Linked DNA regions of Arabidopsis thaliana. The protein of the gene in region 4 interacts with the protein of the main gene of each other region in a biochemical or structural test. Each region holds a gene or a part of one and is shown on either strand. Other genes may lie near its edges. The genes, in order: AT1G67510, PRK1, AT1G66830 and AT2G02780.

Region 1 (5,194 bases), on a different chromosome or scaffold from region 4:
TACCCGCAGAATCTGAAACCAAAAAATCAAACCGGATCATTCCGTTTTAAATCTTCTAACCAAACGGTTATAGTTCGGTTCATTTTGTTTAAGACGTGGTTACCTTCAGTGAATCGCTCTCTCTTGCTTGTAGTTTCTTCTACTCTACCTAACCGCGACGCCGCCTGAGTTATCCCAGCTACTTAACCGTTCTCCGACAAAGGTTGCCGGTGTAAAATGTCAAAAAGCAGAAAAGCAACAAACATTTAATTAGTGGGCCTGATAAATATAATGGGCCAATCTAAATTTTAATTATCCATTATGCTTTTTTGAAAATTTACCCCAAGTTAAATATTCTGTGACCCGTTTAAATCTAAAAACCCAAATCCACATTTGCATAAACTCTATGAAAAGCGAAATTTCAAATGGATGGTTCTTGGAAGATATTAGATCTTGTATGTGTATCTTCAACTGAAGGACAAGACAAGTGCCCGTTAACTAGGAGTTGTCTTTTAACAGATGAGAAAAAGACAGCAAAATAAAAGACAAAGCCATTTAAAGCCTAAAGTATAACTCATTTGATTCAATTTTCATAACAAATAATTATTCAATAAAAACAAATCGACCACTAGTCCCAGACGTGGGAGTGACGTAACGACCTCGTGTAAGAACTATCGGAGATACAAAAATATAATAGGAAAAATTAAAGAAAAAAGAATATAATAATTGAATCAGATTTTGTCGATGTTCTCAGAGACGTTCTTCATACGTGGACGGACTTCAGGGTCACCTTCGGTACAAGCGAGAGCTAGATGAAAAACGGACAAGACTTGTTGCTTGGCGTGAACTTCTTGAAGTAACATTGGATCAACCATGTCCGACAATGGAGTCTCCTCTTCAAACCCTTTCCTCACCCACTTCACCAAATCCGGCACCTCAACAACCACCGTAGACGTCGAGGAAGAGCTTAACGGAGAAGAATCCGGCGATTTCCCGGTGAGAAGCTCCATAAGCACAACACCGAAGGAGTATACGTCCCATTTCTGAGTAGGCCTCCCTCCAGGGAGCCGGGCCTCGGGGGCTTTATAGCCGTTGGATCTATCTGAGGGTTTGATGGAAGTGTAAGGAAGAGCTCCACCTAAGAAACCACCCGCAGCAGAGGAGGAGGAAGGTTCGTTAGAAGAGGCAGAAGCGGCAGTGATGGTGATGAGACGTGTGAGACCGAAGTCAGAGATGTAAGGAGTGAAGGAGGAATCAAGAAGAATGTTGGAAGGCTTAACGTCGCCATGTACCAACTTCCTTGGACTACACTCGTGTAGATAAGCTAACCCACGCGCAGCTCCTTTTGCGATCTTTATACGCGTTGACCATGTTAAGCTCGGTGATGGTTGACCATTCCTCCCTATTCACACACCAAAACAAACAAGTATCCAATATTAAAGTAAGTAATGAGTTACGATGAGAAAAAGACGGGACAGCTAGAGGCTCAACAGAGTGGGTGTATAAAATCATTACTCTTAGCCCACAAGTAAACTTCTCTCATCATTGTTTCCTCATTCTGCTATTTTTACTAATTACTTCTACTCTAAGACTCTACCACACTTAAATCATATACTAATACTTAAAAAAGATATTTATTATTCGGACATGTCGAATTCTCTTACAAGACATGTCTCTTTTACATGTAACTTGACTAAATTCTAAATTAAAATACCAAAATATGCCTAAAAAGAGAAAGAAATCTTGGTCCACTCTTGCTTTGACAATCCCACAAACTATCTCTCAGATCTAATCTCATCTCTCACTAAGGTAGTAATGTCTAATCTAGCGTTGACAAAGTCAAAGTCAACATAAATTTCTTAAGTCAATAGAACAGAACCGGATCTCAAACTTTAGTTAGTAGACTAATTCGATAAGCAGAAAAAGAAGAAGGAAGAAGTAATGTAATACCTCTAAGAGCATCAGCTAAACTTCCATTGTTAACGAAGTCACTAATCAAAAGCTTCTCATCAGGAGCCCAATAATAAGCTCTTAACTTCACCACATTAGGATGTTTCACTTTCCCCATAGCTTGAACCTCCGTAACAAACTCTTTATACCTCTGTTCCCCTCCTTCCCCAAGTCGCCGCACCGCCACCGGAACTCCATTCCCTAACACCACTTTATACACTATCCCTAACCCACTCTTCCCCAAAACATATGCAGAAGCTCTCAACAACTCATCAAGCTCAAAAGAAAACCCTTTATCAATCGCTACAAGCTCTCCATCTCCTTTCCCTTCTCCTCTCTCATTACCTTCCGCTTCCGAATCATCCTCTTTCGGAAACCCCGTGATACAACAACACGATTTCCCCTTCACCGAACCACCACCGAGTTTCGCATTCCCTGTGCAGCTACACCCTCCCTCAGAGTCTTTTTTCTTCCAGTACAAGTAAACTAACACTAAACCAATAAAAGCTACACTTGCTGCATCTGCCACCGAGATCAACACTATTAATCCAGTACTTAACCCTCTTCTAGAATCCGCATTATTCTCGGGCGACTTTCGAGTCCCCGGAGAGTTCTCATCAGTGTCTTTACAAGTTTTCTGGAGAGGGAAACCACACAGTTTCGGATTATTGAGAAATGCGGTTGGCCCCTGGTTAGAGAACGAACCAGATTGAGGAATCTCGCCGGAGAAATCGTTGTTCCGGAGATCAAGAGAGACTGTCACCGGTAGATTTCCTAAGGAATTAGGGATTTGGCCGGATAAATGGTTAAAGGAGAGATTCAAAGTACCAGAGAGAGACTTAAGCTCTCCGATATCCTTAGGGATTTCGCCGGAAAATTCGTTAGCAGAGAGATCAAGCTGAGCTAAATTAGTCAATTCCGGCCAGATATCACCAGGAATCTCACCGGAAAAGTTGTTAGCGGAGAGGATCAACCGTTGAAGCTGTTTACACTTGTTGAGATCCGGTGAAAGAGTTCCAGAGAGCGAATTCATAGACAAATCGAGATTCTGAAGCTTTGGGAGTTTACAGATCGAAGGAGGAAGAGTACCGGAGAGATTGTTACCGTATAAGAAGATACTATGAAGCGACGTCGCGTTGAATAATTGAGTAGGAATTGAACCGTAAAGTTCGTTGTTGTGGAGGTTAAGACGACGGAGGTAAATAAGTGAGCCAAGCTCTGAGGGGATGTAGCCACGGAGATGTTTTCCGGCGAGGGAAATTCCAACGACGCGAGAGGTAGAAGAGTCTGAGATGTTCATACAGGAGATTCCGGACCAATGACAAGGATCGGTGTCGTTATCGTTCCAATCGGAGAAAGCGGAGGAGGAGGAGTGATCGACGGCGGATTTGAGTGAGAGTAAAGCGATACCGTCGGGGGAAAGAGAAAGAGAAGGAGAAGTGTTGAGGAGATGAAGAAGAAGATGGAGAAGAAGTGAGAGAAGGATCATTTCTCTGTACTTGAATTTTTCTGGTTTGTGAAAATAACAGAGAGTGAAGAAGGTGGGTGACGAAAGAATGAGAGATTGGTTGGTTCTTGAAGGGTATTTATTTATGTTAGTTATACCTTTTTAATCATACTGTAATCAATTAATTAAGGGCAAAACATCAATTTATGGCAACGTATTTAATAATTCAATTACAAATTTTTTGTTTTCATTTAATTTAGTTTGACATAACACATTTTTGTAATAATGTTTGCCAAAATTTCTATTGGTCATCAGTAATTTTGTCGATTGATACCGTTTTGATTGTGACTAATCGTAAAATATATAGCGGTATTACAAATATCATTTTTATTGTAATGTTTTAGAAAAAAAAGTTTTACTGTTTGGGGGTTCATAAATTAGATCCACTATTAACATAAAATTATCTAAATTAGTAATGTTTATATTGATGAGTACTATAATTTTGACTGACTGTGAGTACTGTAATTTTGAGACTTTGTGAACAAAGGTAAAAGTATGGTGGCATGTGTAATTGATTGCCAATTATATATTTATTTATCATAATGATATTTTTTTTTCGCCATTTTTTTTTTTTCATTATAATGATATCATAATGATAAAGAAACAAAAAAAGAGAGAAAAATATCATAGTGGTCCTCACAAACATGGATTAGCCTAATCCAAATGTTGATTAGGGTAAATAACTAACACTACTCACGTAAGTGTTAGGGATTAGCAAATGAAGGAGGTACGGAACATTGTAACTCCTTGGGAACTGTTACGGTCAGGGTCCCTGTCCCTCACTTAGCCGTCGAAGTAAATGCCATGCCTTTGACACGTGCTCGCTGGTCTCTCAAAGTCTCTGTATAGAAGTTTTTTCCAATAATTGTGTTTAAAATTGAGTTTTATAAATCTTTTTCTTATTATAAATCTTTTTCTTATTATTTCAATTTTGCGACTAACATCTTAGAATATTTTTCATAAAAGGGTTATCAATTTAGTTTAAATTAATTTTTCTGTAAATTTACATTTTAGAATCAGTTTAAAATGAATTTTCTGTAAATGTACATTTAAACTATACTATTTGAGGTGTGTTGTTAATGTCGTTATGTCCCCCTATAATCATTAAAACACGCTTAGAAGCTAACTAAAGCATGAAATCTATAAGATAATATCTTATTTAAGTGAAGTATGAGAAATGAGATTAAATCATTTTATTTATCACATCATGTTTCTACTGTCTAGTCTACTAAACTAGGATAAAATTATTTCACCGTCATTGTTGCTAGTTTCGAAAGTGGCTTTATATTTGCTATGCTTACGGATTCTTTTGGTTTTGGCTGGCTTGGCTAAATTTTAATTCTATTATTCACATGATCAAGAAATTGAACCAAAATTAATATCACTACTTACCAATTTGGTATGAGTTTTTTTTTTCCGACCAATGTTGTCCGCAACTGTTAAAATATACAGTACATCTACATCATACATGTTTCTGTCATGTGGTAGTTCGATTTGTAGAATGGACCAACAAACTACTCTCACGTGTTACCATACAGATATTATATCACGTTCTACCATACAATCTTAACACATATAGATATAGTCTCAAGATTGAAAATGAACATCGTAAAGATTACTCAACTTCAGCAGCTCTTTAAAGTTTTGTATTACCAACAAAAAATTTCCAATACAAATACTGGTGGAAAAATATTCTCCCGAATTTTGCTTTTTCCCTTCTACTTTGCTCTTTTTTTTATTTTTCATTGTTCTTACATC
Region 2 (4,924 bases), on a different chromosome or scaffold from region 4:
ATGTAAAAAAGGTTTACTTTAAACTCTAAAAAAGTAAAGAACTACACTGTATTAAAGACACATGTATGGGAAGTTGTACAACAGCATCCCCGATCTCATCCCTAAAGAGGCAGAGTCATATTTGACTCTCAAATCTGTATCTGCTCGTCTTGTTTTACATTGCCTAATAATCTACTTATACGTTTATACATGTCTATGTAACTTTCAGATGGTTCGAGTTCTTGTGGCAACATCAATCCGAGAAGCTGCCGCTGGTGCGGAAGATGATGCATTGTTAAAACTGCTAGAAGCTTCATGCAGACGAGCCACAGCTCCTCCAGCTCCATCTGAAGGTCTCTGTCTATTCGACGTTGGTTATACTGACTTTGACCCTCAAACTTCTCTCATTTCCTGAGAATGGCATGTTACATTTACTTAATCATATATTGGATGAAATCTGCATGATTTAGTATGTTTAGTCCGCTTGTCGTTAAAGCAAGCAAGACTTATTTTATTAATATCTCATGATTAATAGTAAGGGTATAGTTATATTTGCCCAAAGCCTTGAGTCATTGACAATGATTTTTATTTAATGGGTCTATTGCAAGATCTATTTACATGCCATATATGGTAACTATGTGAAGAAATCATGTCATGATCTACAGAAAGATGGAAGAGAGAAGTACAATAATCAGCGGTATTCATGCATTTGTGTGTCATGTTTGTTGCAGATACATTATATGCTATAACACAGGTTCAGCTTTCATCTACTTCAATTCCCTTAGTAAAAATGTCTACACATCCATCAAGTCTCATTGTTGTATACAGCACAAGATCAAACCCTTGTCTCTTTCTCATGCAAAGCTGATACTCTCGCATGACTCTCCTTTAGACGACCTACCATCAGTTTCACTCACATACGTTGAGTAGAAGTCGTCATCATCCCCTTCTCGCTCCTTCAACTCTTCGATCTTCTCCACAGCCTGTCCTATGTCCAACCTTTTCTCCACGTCGGGTTCACAACAGTTCAATCCGATCGTCAAGAGTTTGAGAATCTGTCCTTCACAATGGCTTGTCTTCCCCATACCCTTATCAAACAAACTTGGTGCCCATACCCCATGGAAACCCGAGTTCACCCAACTCGCTAAATCCTCTTCACTACTTTGTGAGAAATTAGCCGGGAATTTTCCCGTTAGGATCTCCAAGATAAGTATGCCAAGCCCCCATACATCGGTTTTCTTGGTGATACGTCGATGTTGCAAATACTCTGGAGATCTATAGGCCGCCATGTGCATTTGTGCCTTCTCTTGGTTGATCAACGGAATTAATCCATAGTCTGTGAGAAGTGGTTCAAATGTTTTGGTGAGAAGAACGTTGGAGGATTTGAGGTGACCATGTGGAGCCATTAGGCTAGGTAGGTCTTGGTGGAGATAGAACAACCCCTTTGCAACTCCCTTCACGATCTTCAATCTTGTTGGCCAGTCCAAACTTGGTTTTCCTAACGATTGATTACCTACAAACATTTGACTCGTAAGCATCGATAAATCTAACGACTTATAAGTGTAGAAATATCGAAAACTTACTATGAAGATTAATAGCCAAGCTTCCTCTCTCAGCAAAATCACATACTAAAAGCTTTTCCTCCTTCCTATAGTAATAAGCCACAATGGAAAGCAGATTATGGTGCATTAACCTCCCTAATCTTTTCATGTGCTCTTGAAACTCATCCCTCCCTGCATTGTTCATCTGCTTGAACCTCTTCACGACCATCATTTGTCCGCTTGATAGCACTGCTTTATAAGATGCTCCAAAACATCCACTTCCAAGTATCTCGGCCGAAGCCTTCAACAGATCTTGCAGGTCAAATTTTTCCCTATCTTCCCTCAAGAATGAAAGCTTTGTGTTCTCCACTCCAGCTGCTGCACCCATCCTCTTAGTAGTGCCTGAGCCTTTCCGGTGGTCGGCTTTCTTTCTGTCTCTACGACTTTGGTCTGCTTCTCGGATGCCGGTTTTCTTCTGTAGACTTGATGGTCCGGTTTCCACCGCCAAACGCGGTTTTTTATTCTTATAGCTGCGGTTAAGCAAGAAGATCACTCCAAGGATTATGAGTATTGTCAAGGCCGCGACTATTGCTGTTATAACGAGAGGTCCCCTTGATGATGATTTGGGTCGTGCCTCAGACTGTGGAGGATGTTCTATATAAGGAGAATCACATTCTGTTTCCAGCGGTTTTCCATATAAGCCTTTGTTACCTTCAAACACCTTTGGATCTGTCATGCTGAGACTCTCTGGTATTGGACCTGTTAATGCATTGTTTGAAAGGTTTAACAAGTGTAGCTGATGTTCAAACTCTGGTATCTCTCCAGTGAATTGGTTCCCGTCAAGTCTCAGTTCTAAAAGCTTGGGCAATTTGGCCACAGATGACGGAATTTGACCGGTAAACTTGTTTTGTGCCAAATGGACCTTCTTCAACCACCCCATACCTTCAAAAGCATCCCCTGGTATATCTCCTCCGAATTGATTGTTTGACAGGTAGAGTGACTTGAGAGCAGCGAGTTTCTTGAAGTCAGGGAATGGCCCTTCAAACTTGTTGTTCATGAAGCTTAGAGTCCTCAAGGATGTCAAACCCGACAATGCCTCGATGTCTATAGAACCAGAAAGCTCCAAGTTCTCCATCTGCAGTCTCCAGACGGAGCCGCCATTGCACAAGACACCAGACCAAGTGCAAGGAGGACTTTTAGCATTCCATGAGGCCAACGCGTTTTCCTGCCCAACAACTAAAGATTCCTTGAACTTGAGGATAGCCTCAGAATCTGAAAGACCATGAGTGGGTGTGGAGAAGAAAAGGAGGAGACATACTAGTGGTACCATGACGTTGTATACGCTGAGGGTACGCGCCTGCATGGGAGGCATGAGGCGCGTCCTCTTGAGAAACCTTTGAGAAAGGGACAATGTGATGTTTACAGCTACAGTTGGATTGACACAACAGAGAAAAAAGAAAAGAAAGATGAATGGTAAAGAGAAGGCTTTGCATCAAAAGCATTCCAATAATAGGTTTGTGGTGAAACTTAAATCTCTAATTGCTGACCTGTAATGTCCTTTAAGATTACATCAGACAGCACCAATACACAATTCTCTGTTTTATTTTCTATCTCATCAATTCAACAACCCCATTATCTATATTGGTAAACCCTAAACCCAAACTTGGTACTTCTGTTGAACTAAACAACAAGTTTCAGATATATTCGTTCTTATCTGGTCAAAAGCAGAGGAAGCTACCATTTTTGTTTTGACTTACACAACTATTAGATAACTATACCAACAAAAGAAAATTGAAAAGTCTGGATGTTTATGAAGTCAGTTACATCTATAAGGAGACAATAAGAAAGAGAGTCAAAAAGGTTTTTGTTGGGATGCATTTGCTAATATTAGCTTAGTCAAACGCGTTTCTCAAAATCTGTTTCATTTATATATAAACTCATTGAATATTTGTTTGTTGCAGAACGAAACCGAAACCGAGAGAAGAAAGTAGTGAAAATGGTGAGAACCTCCGAGAAAAGAGAAGAAAATATTACTCTTGCCATTGACAGAGACAAAGAGAGCCAAAACGCGTTGAAATGGGCGGTTAGCAATCTTCTTAGCCGAGGACAGACTCTTACTCTTCTTCATGTTAAACTCAAACAACCCTCCTCTCTTCCCTATTCTGGTATGACGACAAAGCCTATATTTTAACATTAGTTAACTTCTTTGTTTGAGGCTTAATATTCATATTAACATAAGGTTGATTCAATGCAGGATCAAACTTTAGTAAGCCAGGCGATGATCCGTCAGAATTGTTTCTTCCTTTTCGTTGCTACTGTGCTAGAAAAGATGTGCGTTTTCGGCTTTTCGCTTCACTTTTTTTATCTTGTCAAGCATTTCATTTCATTTGACTGACATTATCTTGTTACTGTGGCAGATCAACTGCCAAGATGTGGTTGTGGAGGACGTTAGTGCGGCTAAAGGAATAGTTGACTACGTGCAACAGAATGCAATCGAGACTTTAATACTCGGTTCTTCGAAGATGACTCTTTTAAGGTGATTAGGCAAACGCTTTTCTCCTTACTTAAGACTAAATCTGAGCATCCTTATATATATGTTTTATTTGATAGAAGGTTCAAAGCAGCGGATGTTTCAAGCACTGTCATGAAAAAGGCACCGAGTTTCTGTACAGTATATGTTATCTCTAAAGGGAAAATCTCGTTTCTGAGATCAGCTACAAGTTCACCTCCCCATTCCAATATGCCATCTATGCGACATCATTCACACGCTCAGACGAGCAATATGAATGGTATATATGACCAAGTTTTTTCAAGGACATCATATAAGCTAAAATAGCTTTTCCTAACTGATCAAATGTCTTTCATGTTGCAGTTGAAAGGAGGCAACAAACAATGCAAAGAACACATGATGAGATCAAGATAGAGATCAAGTATGTTTCTTACCTACATAAGTTGTTTTATTTTTTTCCATAAGTTACATTTTACTTATGGTAAACACACATGTTGAGTAGGTCTCCCTTTTCGAGAAGAGGATACGAAGGCGTTTACCAGCCCTCAATAACAGACTCTGATATATCATTTGTGAGTAGTGGAAGACCGAGTGTGGATCAGATGTTTCCTTCCTTGTATGACGATGTGGATGTTCCACGGCTCTCAGTCACCTCTGAGTATGGAGAAAATCGATTGAGTTTTGCTACAACATACTCAAAGCAGTCCATAGATCTTGGCTCACCATATGCACCAAACTCTTCAACCTCATTTGAAAGTGGGAGACAATCATTTTCACTACAGGGCCAAGTATTTTACTACTCTAAGACCAGATATGTGCACATGAGAAATGTTTTTTTCATTTGTTTAATTCTAAAATCTGACAGGATGAGCTTGAAACCGAGATGAGAAGGCTG
Region 3 (5,501 bases), on a different chromosome or scaffold from region 4:
ATTAAGCAAGTATATAAATATGAACCTCAAGCAAAAATCTATTTTGAAAAAAAAAATAGATGGAAACAAAAAGTTTGTTAGGAGGGGAGGTTTTGTTTGTAACTTGGAGAATAAGGAAGTATGTATTGGTGTGTTTGAAGAAACAAAAATAAAGAAGAATAGGTCATTTTATTAAGTTTGGTTGGGCCAATCATGAATAAGAATAGTTAATGAATTGATGATTAAATTGGTTTTTTGATATATGCATGTATGTTTAGTTTCATGTTGTTAACGACCGTAGTAAGGTAAGGAATATATGTGAGTTTTGTTTGCTTAAAGAGCACAACTTTAACTAACTATGGTCCCTCTTTCTTTCCTATGTGTAATATACTTCAATCAAAATCTTTCGTTGTAGCTAACTAACTAGAAAATGTTTCCTTCCTTCTAACCCAACAACCCTGCCCAAATTACCTTCTTACCCTTTCTACGACATTTTAAAAACAAAATATCATATAACTTAATCCAAATCTGTATTTAACATTTTCTTGAAGAATTTGTATCTCATGTGTATCTTTTATCATTAAAAAAAACTGATAAATAGGAGAGAATCTGTAGAGACTTAAATGGGTTAAAGCCCAATATATGCGACAATAAGCCCAATAAATACCTCAACGCATATTCATCTTTTTTCTCAAATCTTATCTGATTTTCTCATCACTCATAAATTCACAATTCAGTGATCGTCATTTGCCCAATCACAAAACCAATGGGATCAACTAATAAACTCTGGAGCCGTAAACCAGACGTCAAAACCGGGAAATCAGAATTTCCGGTTACCAGATTCCTCCGTACACAAATCGATAACATCAAGACAACAACCGTCGGTCCCGGAATCGGCGGCGGCATTGGCTGCGGCGCTGGAATCGGCATTGGTCTCTCCGGCGGGCTCGGAATAGGTGCCTCTGAAGGACTTGACCATTCTAACGTGGTTCTTGGATTCGGTATTGGTTGTGGTATCGGGTTCGGGTTTGGATACGGATTTGGAGTTGGCGGCGGGTACAGTTTCGATGACATCAAAGAGAGATTTGACCTATGAAAAAAAGCTCCGGTTCATAATTCCGGGTCGGGTTTGGGTAAAAGATTTTTAAAGCATTATGTTAATTTTGTACTGTATTAACAGTTTTGTTAATTATATAAGTTCAATAAAAATATCCTCCCTTGTGTCCTTTTATTTTTCATAATAATATCACAATTATGAATGATTAACAGAAAAACCATAAAAATTATCACATGAAATTTATGAAGTAATCTGAAAATTATGAAGTAAACACATAATCTAATTAAAATTATTACTTTTCATTAATTAATAATAATTAAATAGAAGTTACCAATTTCTCGAAGCTCTCCAATACACTTCTCATGTGTGGTCTTTTATCTGGGTTCTTCTGCACACAAGCTAAACCGATCTTGATGACTTGAACCATACTATCTTCCAAATCTCTATCACGAGCTAAAACCGGATCAAGAACATACCAAGCCGGTTTATTTCTCTCACTAGCCGATTCAACCCACATAACCAAATCCATTTCTGAACTAACCGGAGATTTTCCGGTTACCATTTCGAGTATCACTAAACCGAATGAATACACATCCCATTTCTGAGACGGTTTAGTCATTTTTGAAGCTGCTTCAGGAGCTTGGTAATATGATTCTCTAGAGAGGATTGGTGAGCTTGTCTCCATGGGAGAGATTTGGTCTGATCTGATATCTGAAGACGTGTCGACGATACGACCTAGACCGAAACCGGATACTTTCGGTTCAAGATTCGGTCCTAGAAGTATGTTGCTTGTGTTTATATGTCCATGGACATACCTTTTGGGACTAAACTCATGAATATAAGTTAATCCTTTTGCTATTCCTCTCAATATTTTTAACCGGACCGTCCAGGTTAGTTGCTTGCATGACACGCTACCAGGTCTACCTGTCATAAATTTTTATGAATCAGTCTTGAATCTTAACTATGGTCATAGATTTATGCGATTTTGACACTAAAATTACCTTGAATTGCAGAACCAAGGTCACCATTTGGTATGTAATCATAAATCAGGAGTTTCTCTTCAGGAGACCAGCAACAAGCCTTGAGATTCAAGACATTAGGGTGCTTGATTTTCGCCATTGCTTCGACATCAGCTAGAAACTCTTTGAGCCGTAGCCAACCTTTATCTTCTAATCGTCTAACGGCTAACATTAATCCATTTTCAAGAACTACCTTGTACACAAGCCCGATCCTGCTCTTCCCTAGAAGAAAAGCCGAGGCTTTTAGAAGCTGGTCGAGGTCAAATTCGATTTCCGGGTCCATTGGCATGAAAACTTGTTGATTTTTGTTCTCATCTAGCGTTTCAGATTCTGAATTCCCAGTCTTGAAACAGAGAAACTCTGGCTTTGTCGTCTTCTTCAGTTTCTCGTTTATATGACATGTTCGGTTGTTTTGATCTTTGTTTGCACGAGCCGATGCTTTTCGGAGATAGTAGATGAATAATGAAGCAAGAAAAATGATTCCGGCGACTGTGCCTCCAGTGGCTGTAAGGATGATGCAGAGTCTAGAATGATGGTTGGCTCTTCTTGTATATAGTTGAGAAGGAACTACTTGTGTGTTTCTTGTGCTGCAAGAAATCTTTATCGGTAATCCACAGAGGAAAGGGTTCCCTTGGAAAGCATTTGGACCGGCATTCAACAGAACGTTGAATTTTGGTATCGGACCACTGAGATTATTGTAAGAAAGATCGACATAGAGAAGCTCAGGGAGATTTCCAAGACTTGTTGGAATCATACCTGAGAAGAAGTTATGAGAAAGATCAAGTGTACCTTTCAGATTCTCCAGACTTCCTACATCTTCGGGGATCGTTCCAGTCAAGCGATTGAAAGAAAGATTCAGTGTCCGAAGATGAACCAAGTTAGAACCTAACCCTGTTGGAAGATCTCCAGAGAAACTGTTCTTGCTAAGAACAAGCGTTTTCAGCTTCTTGCATGGAATAAGCGACAAAGAAATCGAACCGTTGAAAGAATTCTCCGAAAGATCCAGAGTCATTAGACTCTTCAAGCTACCAATCTCTTCTGGGACAAACCCGGAAAAAGAATTTCCAGAAAGCACCAAGCTTTGAAGCCCTTTAAGTCCAAAGAGTTCCACAGGTAACTTCCCTTGAAAGTCATTGTCTCTTAGGTTAATGTGACGAAGGGACAAGAGACTTCCAATGGATGGATCAAGAGAACCCGAAAGACGTTTATTAGGAAGACGAATCGAGACAACTCTCATATCATAATTACATGTAACACCTTGCCAAGAACAAGGGTTTGAATCTGAAGAGTTCCAATTGGTAAAAACAGAGTCACTCTGGTTTTGTATGGATTGTTTAAAGGAAAGAAGAGCAAGACCTTGATCGTTTAGAGAAGTGGCTATGGCAAAGAAATGAGTTAGAATGAAGCAGAGAATGAGAAATAACTGAGACATCTCTAAAGAGAGACACAATTCTGAATTGAGTAAAGTTTGGCTCCTAAATATCTCCAAGAAATTAGTGTTTATATAGCTTGGACTGGCCTAGTTTTCAATCAAGTCAACAGTTTTAACTTCTTATCAATTCTAAATTTTTTGAAGATATTTATATGTTTGAAGAAACTTATATCTAAATTCATGCATCAAACAAATTGTATATACCTCATTTACATGTCAATGGAATTAGCGATGATTGAGGCTATAATTGAAACAGTAGGGGACACGTAAGGTAATGAGGAATAGCTTTTCTAGTTTCTAGTTGTTTAGTTAGTGGTGGGGTAATGTATTGACAATTTTACTTCCAAATCCTAAAGTCAAATCTCCACCAGAATTATTGTTGTGCCGGTCAATTTAAGTTTTTCGTTTCGATTTGATTTGTACTCTAGTTTACTTCTAGATTGTTTGTTTCTGTTTTGGAGTCTGAGACAAATATAACTAGTTTGGGGGAAAAGAGTTAACATTTGTCGGAAAAATATATGAAAACAATAATATTACTTGTGTGAATTTTATGAGTCATGGCCAAACATTTCTACTATGATTGTTGCATAATTTTATAAGTTAATTTGGTTTTAACATTAGCAAAATATTATTTCGAGGAGCATTTAATTTAAAATATAAAACATAAATTTATAAAAAATTTTGTAGACGTTTGTGGTACAAATTAGCTTAGCCGGTAATCTTTTATGTATTTCTAGTTGACCAGAAAAAAAAGATACAAGTACATAATTTTGTTTTTTTTAAAATATGAATATGATTCATTCTTTACAATTAAATTCGTTTTTACTTTAATTTACTTTGATTTGTGTGTCTATAATATAGTTTATGCCAAAATTTCTTTTATCAACGGCTGGTCATGTATGAAATTTGTTGGTTCTAGTTCGATATAAACCATTCAAATTACCAAAATCAAATATGAAAAAATTTACCTGACTCTTATACAATGCAATACATTATTTTCATTAATATACACCTAAAGTCTACATAAATACATCATTTTTTTATTATCAAAAAATAACAAAAATACAAAACAAATAAATCACTTACAAGCTAAAAACAATGTGAAACTTAACACGCAAGCAATAAAAAAACTTACACTCACTTCAACAAGATAACTAAACTTCTCATTGTTCTAAAGAAGAATTACGCCTCTTCCGGCTAAAAAATTTGACCATGTTTGGAACTTTCTTCTTCTTCTTGATTACAAAGAATGTTGGAGTCGCTCGGTTCCCTGATGAGTACCTTCTCGACTTCCCTCCCTGAACCGGTGCAAATTTCCCGCTCAGCCTAACCGATTTTCTCACCGGTTTAGGAGAGTTGATCAAGCCATTGTCTTCTGAATTTCCCTTGAACTTCTGAATCTCATCTTGGACCAATCTCTTTATCGATAGCGACCTCTGCATCCTAAACGATTCCCTCTCTTCTTCCAACATTGTTTTCCCACTCACTCTCTTTAAAGATTCTGTCTTTATCATAATCGCCTTAGTGCTAGCCTTTAGTGCTTCGACCCACGCCATTGCTGCTTCCACTTTCTTCTCTGCAGTTTCTTCAGCATGACAAGCTTTTCCACTCAAATACTCGTACTCAAATCTCGATATTGTAATAGTTGAATTACGCCGAGATTCCATTTCTCGAGTTTCCATTGTTTTCTCTACCATTGTTTCAAGCTTCTCTAGAGCTAAACTCTCTGCGTGCTTCGCTTTCTCAAGCTCATCTAACTTGGAAAGCAACTCTTTTTCCTTTCCATCAAATCCTGTTTCGGTTTTCTGTATCTCATTGTTGATGATCCTTGCTTCTTCTCTAAGCTTAAGCTCCTCTTTCTTTGCAGCTTCTCTATCACTCTTTAGTTTCTCAAACGAAGTAGTTAAATTGTCAGCAAGATAGCTGATTCTTTCTTCAGCTTTAGATACTGCTTCTAATTGATCTTTCGCAATAAGCAGCTTCGTATTGAGTCTCTCAAGCATTACATCATCCT
Region 4 (5,397 bases):
AACTAAATAGAAGATTTTAAATTTTGATGATTGTCTATATATTTAGTGTAAAACAGTAAATGAAAGGCAAAAAAGCTGCAAATCAGATTCTGAATAAAAAACATGTTATGACGTCTAATCAAAGTTTTAGGATCCGAGAAGTTTACTTTTCTTGAAACACAATAATCGAAAGTTTTGTTTAATCAAAAGAAGCTCATAAATAAATTCTAGGATCCTAAATAGCTAAGTAAAAAACAAACTGAAATAGATTACAATGAATTCATACATTACATTTTTGTAGTTTGAGACCCTAGAAATACGATCTTGTTCCTCCTCTTTTGTTTATAGGCTCAGTTTTAAACCTTAATAAATTAATAATCTCGGAACCGATAAATTCTAATTAATTTATAAAGGTATTAATTTATTAATAAATCTTATAGAGAGATTTTATTAATTTTGTAATTTTTTAAAATTTCTATGTGAGAAGTAGTTTTTGTCTTTATAATCAATGTCTTTCAAAAATAAATTACAAATAAAAAACCAATTGTTAAGTTAGTAAACAAAAAACACTTTGTTCAATATAGTAAAAATATTAGAAATGAACTCTACTAAAAATTTTATACAAATTTAAGAAAAATGAACAATACTAGAGTTAAATCCCACTAATTTAATTAAATATATATATATATATATTAATAAGTGTAAAATTATTAATTTATGATATTGATGAGATCATATGTTTACGTAAGAGTTTTTAAAAACTTATTATTTTATAATTTCATTGATTTGTGTTATTTATTACATTGAAAACGTCAAGAATTTATTAATTTGTAAAAATAGTAATTTATCGAGGATTAGTTTATAAATAATTTACTGTATTAGCATTCACAAGGAATAAGCATAGTACATATATGTCCCAATGTTAAGTAAATCATTTTTTGTATAATTACTTGTCAAAAAAAAAAAAAAAAAAAAAATCATATAGAAACTAAAATATTTGGAAATATATATGGACTCAAAGGTTGTACAATTTTGGGCCTAACCGTATTATATATAATATACGGGCTAAATGTTACACGTATGAAGCCCAAAATAACCTCTCTTTTTTTTTGTCAAACTTGATTTGTAATTGAATTTTAATAAAATTAAATAATTGAATTTTAATAAAAATTAAATAATTGAATTTTAAATGCATATTTTTCGATAAAAAAAAAATGTCTGTTGCAGAAAATATTAAATGATACTTTCGCAGTGACGATTATTCCAAGGCCGTTTGCATGTGCAGATGTGCTTGATCATATAAAATCCATTCAAATTTTCTAACATTAGTAAATGAACAGTTCATCAGAATAAAAGAAACAGCTCGACATTTGGTAGAATCTCTAACCACACTTTTAAAGAAAAGACACAAACCTAATGGCTTCTCTCTCTCTCTCGAAGACAAAACACGACATAAATTTCTTAATCCTCATTACCTATCACCGACAAGTAATGAAACATCTCTATAATCTTATCTGATCAATCATATATAACCAAAAGCACTTGTTTTACTAATAAAACAAAGCAAAAATCATGTGAAATACAAGTTCTTATTGTTAATTTGTTATAGTAGTAATCAAATCAAATAAATAAACATTTCATCTTCTTGGATTCATTGCAAAACAGTCTGTCAAGTTGAGGTTGTGCAATGTGCAGTAATGAACAAACAACCAAACCAAGTTTAAGAACTTAAAGATTGCATTTATTGCCTCCACCTTAATTGGCTTTTCTACTTTCATTTACTTCTTCTTCTTCTTCTCTTGATCCAAAGTTTTCCTCTACACTACCTATAGATCTGTCTTTGTTCCTAGAAAAATGATAACTTTCAGTGAGTTTCTGTTTCTCTAAAGGCAAAACACATCTTCACTATGCAGATTTCTCTTCAAATCCATTTATCTTCCTTCACTTTTCTTCTTCTTATTTTCCTTCTTCCAGTACTCTCTGAGTCTCAGGTAGCTTCAAGTGAATCACAAACTCTTCTTGAAATCCAGAAGCAACTACAATATCCACAGGTTCTTCAATCATGGACTGATACAACCAACTTCTGTCACATTCGTCCGTCTCCTTCCTTGAGAATCATCTGCCTCCATGGTCACGTAACAGAGTTAACCGTCACCGGGAACAGAACTAGTAAGCTCTCTGGAAGTTTTCATAAACTCTTCACTCTTCTTACACAACTATCGAGCTTAAAGACTTTGTCTCTTACTTCTCTCGGAATTTCTGGTTCTCTTTCTCCTAAGATCATCACTAAGCTATCACCGTCTCTTGAGTCTCTCAATCTTAGCTCTAATTTCATCTCTGGGAAGATTCCAGAAGAGATTGTGTCTTTGAAGAATCTGAAAAGCCTTGTTTTAAGAGACAATATGTTCTGGGGTTTTGTCTCTGATGATCTCAGAGGATTATCAAATCTTCAAGAGCTGGATTTGGGAGGTAATAAACTCGGTCCTGAAGTTCCTTCACTCCCAAGTAAGCTCACCACTGTTTCATTGAAGAACAACTCCTTTAGATCCAAGATTCCAGAACAGATCAAGAAGCTGAATAACCTTCAAAGTTTAGACCTTTCTTCCAACGAATTCACCGGGTCGATTCCAGAGTTTCTGTTTTCGATTCCTTCTCTTCAAATTCTCAGTTTGGATCAGAATCTGTTAAGCGGGTCACTTCCAAATTCTTCTTGCACCTCCTCAAAGATTATAACTTTAGACGTGTCTCACAATCTTTTAACTGGAAAGCTTCCTTCTTGCTACTCTTCAAAGAGTTTCAGTAATCAGACAGTGCTTTTCTCATTCAACTGCTTGTCTTTGATTGGCACTCCTAACGCGAAGTATCAGCGTCCGCTTTCTTTCTGTCAAAACCAAGCAAGCAAGGCAATAGCTGTGGAACCTATCCCCAAGGCTAAAGATAAAGATTCTGCAAGAATCAAACTCGGGTTAGTGATTTTGATAATCATCGGTGTGATCATCCTTGCAGCAATTTTGGTTCTGTTGGTTTTGATTGCCCTCAAAAGAAGAAGATCAAGATCAGAAGATGATCCTTTTGAAGTGAACAACAGCAACAATGAGAGACATGCCTCTGATAAAGTCTCTGTTTGCAGCACCACAACTGCCAGCTCTAAGTCATTACCAGATTCAAGTAAACAATGACTTATCTTATTAATACTTGGACACTTGAAACTGAGTCTTTCTCTAGCAAAAACCATTAACAGGATCTTTCTGAGTGTAGGACGTGTACCACAGACAATGAGATCTGCAGTGATTGGTTTGCCACCGTACCGCGTTTTCTCCTTGGAGGAACTGGAAGAAGCGACTAACGACTTTGATGCAGCTAGCCTGTTCTGCGAACAGGTAAAAACAAAAACTTGACTTGAGACTCTGGCGACGAACCTAATAGATTACTTAATATATTTGGTATTCGAACAGCTGTATAGAGGTTGTCTAAGAGAAGGCATACCAGTGACAGTGCGAGTTATCAAGCTGAAGCAGAAGAGCTTGCCACAAAGCTTAGCTCAACAGATGGAAGTTTTATCAAAGCTAAGGCATATGCATTTGGTTAGCGTTCTTGGACACTCCATTGCCAGTAACCAAGACCACAATCAACACGCTGGACACACCATCTTCATTGTTCAAGAATACATCTCTAGTGGATCATTGCGGGACTTTCTCACAAGTAATAATAACCTGAAAAAGATTAGAATATATATTCAGGTTTCCATAGACTCAAATGGTTATTCATTATGGGAATTTTTGTGATCAGACTGTAGGAAGAAAGAGGTACTGAAATGGCCTCAGAGAATGGCGATAGCAATAGGAGTCGCTCGAGGGATACAGTTCTTGCATATGGGAGTAGCACCAGGAATCTTTGGGAACAATTTGAAGATAGAGAACATCATGCTTGATGAAACACTCACAGTAAAAATCAGTGGCTATACTATTCCTTTACCATCCAAGGTATAAAACTTTGTTTTATTTCTTCTTCTATTAATTGAATCTAAGAAAATTTAATGGCATTTCTAGGTTGGAGAAGAGAGGCCTCAAGCCAAAAAACCTCGGAGGTTGTTGTTGTTTCTTAAGATATGATCAAATGTGTTCTCTTCTATCAAATTTTGAAACTTGTTAATGAATAATGTGCAGTAATGAAGATAGAGAGAAAGAAGATGTGTACCAGTTTGGAGTGATACTACTACAAATCATCACAGGGAAAGTAGTTGCTGCAGGATCTTCAGAGATGGGAAGTTTGAAGCTTCAGGTCTGTTCTGTTTCAGTCAGAACCTTTTCATCTTTAAGAATCCGACACGGCTTACAAATTTAGAACCTCAATGTTATTATTTCCTGCAGCTGGAGAACGGTTTGAGAGATGAACCATCAGTATTGAGCAGCTTAGCAGATCCATCTGTTAAAGGATCATATGCTTATGAGTCGTTGAGGACGACAGTAGAGTTTGCTATCAACTGTCTTTGCGAAGATCAGAGCAAGCGTCCTTCCATAGAAGACGTTGTGTGGAATCTACAGTATACAATTCAAGTGCAGCAAGGATGGAGACCAAGCAGTGGGAATCATGAATCATCCATGAAAGCAATATATGAATGAAATGATCATAAAGAGAGGCAAAAACTGTAGAAACAATAATAAGTTTCAAACAAGTCAAGATGTAGTTTCATGGACTACCTGAAATATCTTTTATTAGCTAACTTAGTAATCTGTGAATAAAAAGCAAAAGGAGTTGAAAAACACACAAAGACATGTAAGAGAGTGTGTCCAGCTTTGCTCGACAACATTGCAGACTCTTCTGTTGTATTCGCGCTTGCTTTCGCTGAACATTCGTGCATCTCTTAAAACAAATCAGCAGTCTACAATCTTGCTAACCTGCTTGATGAAGACATCAAAATCTTCAAAAACCTTCACAGGTTCTTTATAACAAGAATCTCTGTGCCTGGAATACTATAGAAAATCCCAAAAGTTACTGCAAACCTCTCACTATGCTCACGTCTAACCTCTCCATCTCAACCACACTCCGTGTTTCGGGCAATCTCCAATACAGAAGTCTCTACCTCATCCAGCATTCTATAAACTTCCTTTGTTATGACTTGTATCGCTAGCTAAAAACAAGTGCTTGTGTTCCACATAACTATAATAACCATAGCTATACCCAGGTTAGGTAAGATGTCGAAAACAGCAAGTGGCTTTGCCAAGTTACCTCACCTAGCATACATACTACTGATCAATGCATTTTCGCTCACAAAACAAATTTTGTTACAATACCATTGGCTTTTACTAGCTTCTTACTTCTTGACCAATCTCTTGAGCCTCCAAGATAGATAGGCACAAGAAGACAGGATCATGACAAACGCTCGATGATCACAAACACATACACACCAGCTTCCTT

Evidence for each region.
Region 1: the proteins of AT2G02780 (region 4) and AT1G67510 form a complex in vitro, tested with the Arabidopsis thaliana proteins (one large-scale study listed by BioGRID).
Region 2: the proteins of AT2G02780 (region 4) and PRK1 form a complex in vitro, tested with the Arabidopsis thaliana proteins (one large-scale study listed by BioGRID).
Region 3: the proteins of AT2G02780 (region 4) and AT1G66830 form a complex in vitro, tested with the Arabidopsis thaliana proteins (one large-scale study listed by BioGRID).

The regions. Positions count from the first base shown.
Region 1 is NC_003070.9:25,296,767-25,301,960, forward strand, and holds AT1G67510 (Leucine-rich repeat protein kinase family protein), read right to left. Parts: upstream 3,588-5,194; 5' UTR 3,419-3,587; coding exon 1,930-3,418; intron 1,382-1,929; coding exon 711-1,381; 3' UTR 540-710; downstream 1-539.
Region 2 is NC_003076.8:13,594,886-13,599,809, reverse strand, and holds PRK1 (Leucine-rich repeat protein kinase family protein), read right to left. Parts: upstream 2,987-4,924; 5' UTR 2,893-2,986; coding exon 1,563-2,892; intron 1,493-1,562; coding exon 834-1,492; 3' UTR 541-833; downstream 1-540. Other genes in the region: AT5G35400 (Pseudouridine synthase family protein), read left to right, coding at 209-394; AT5G35380 (kinase with adenine nucleotide alpha hydrolases-like domain-containing protein), read left to right, coding at 3,517-3,685, 3,775-3,851, 3,938-4,056, 4,134-4,309, 4,393-4,450, 4,547-4,817, 4,895-4,924. UniProt on the Arabidopsis thaliana protein: Receptor-like kinase involved in the control of pollen germination and pollen tube polar growth.
Region 3 is NC_003070.9:24,929,348-24,934,848, forward strand, and holds AT1G66830 (Leucine-rich repeat protein kinase family protein), read right to left. Parts: upstream 3,591-5,501; 5' UTR 3,488-3,590; coding exon 2,038-3,487; intron 1,961-2,037; coding exon 1,353-1,960; 3' UTR 1,076-1,352; coding exon of another isoform or gene 746-1,075; 3' UTR 551-745; downstream 1-550. Other genes in the region: AT1G66820 (glycine-rich protein), read left to right, coding at 746-1,075; PMI2 (PLASTID MOVEMENT IMPAIRED protein (DUF827)), read right to left, coding at 4,651-5,501.
Region 4 is NC_003071.7:781,136-786,532, reverse strand, and holds AT2G02780 (Leucine-rich repeat protein kinase family protein), read left to right. Parts: upstream 1-1,610; 5' UTR 1,611-1,886; coding exon 1,887-3,147; intron 3,148-3,237; coding exon 3,238-3,359; intron 3,360-3,434; coding exon 3,435-3,681; intron 3,682-3,768; coding exon 3,769-3,962; intron 3,963-4,028; coding exon 4,029-4,066; coding exon of another isoform or gene 4,067-4,091; exon of another isoform or gene 4,092-4,145; coding exon 4,146-4,260; coding exon of another isoform or gene 4,261-4,323; exon of another isoform or gene 4,324-4,349; coding exon 4,350-4,601; 3' UTR 4,602-4,859; downstream 4,860-5,397.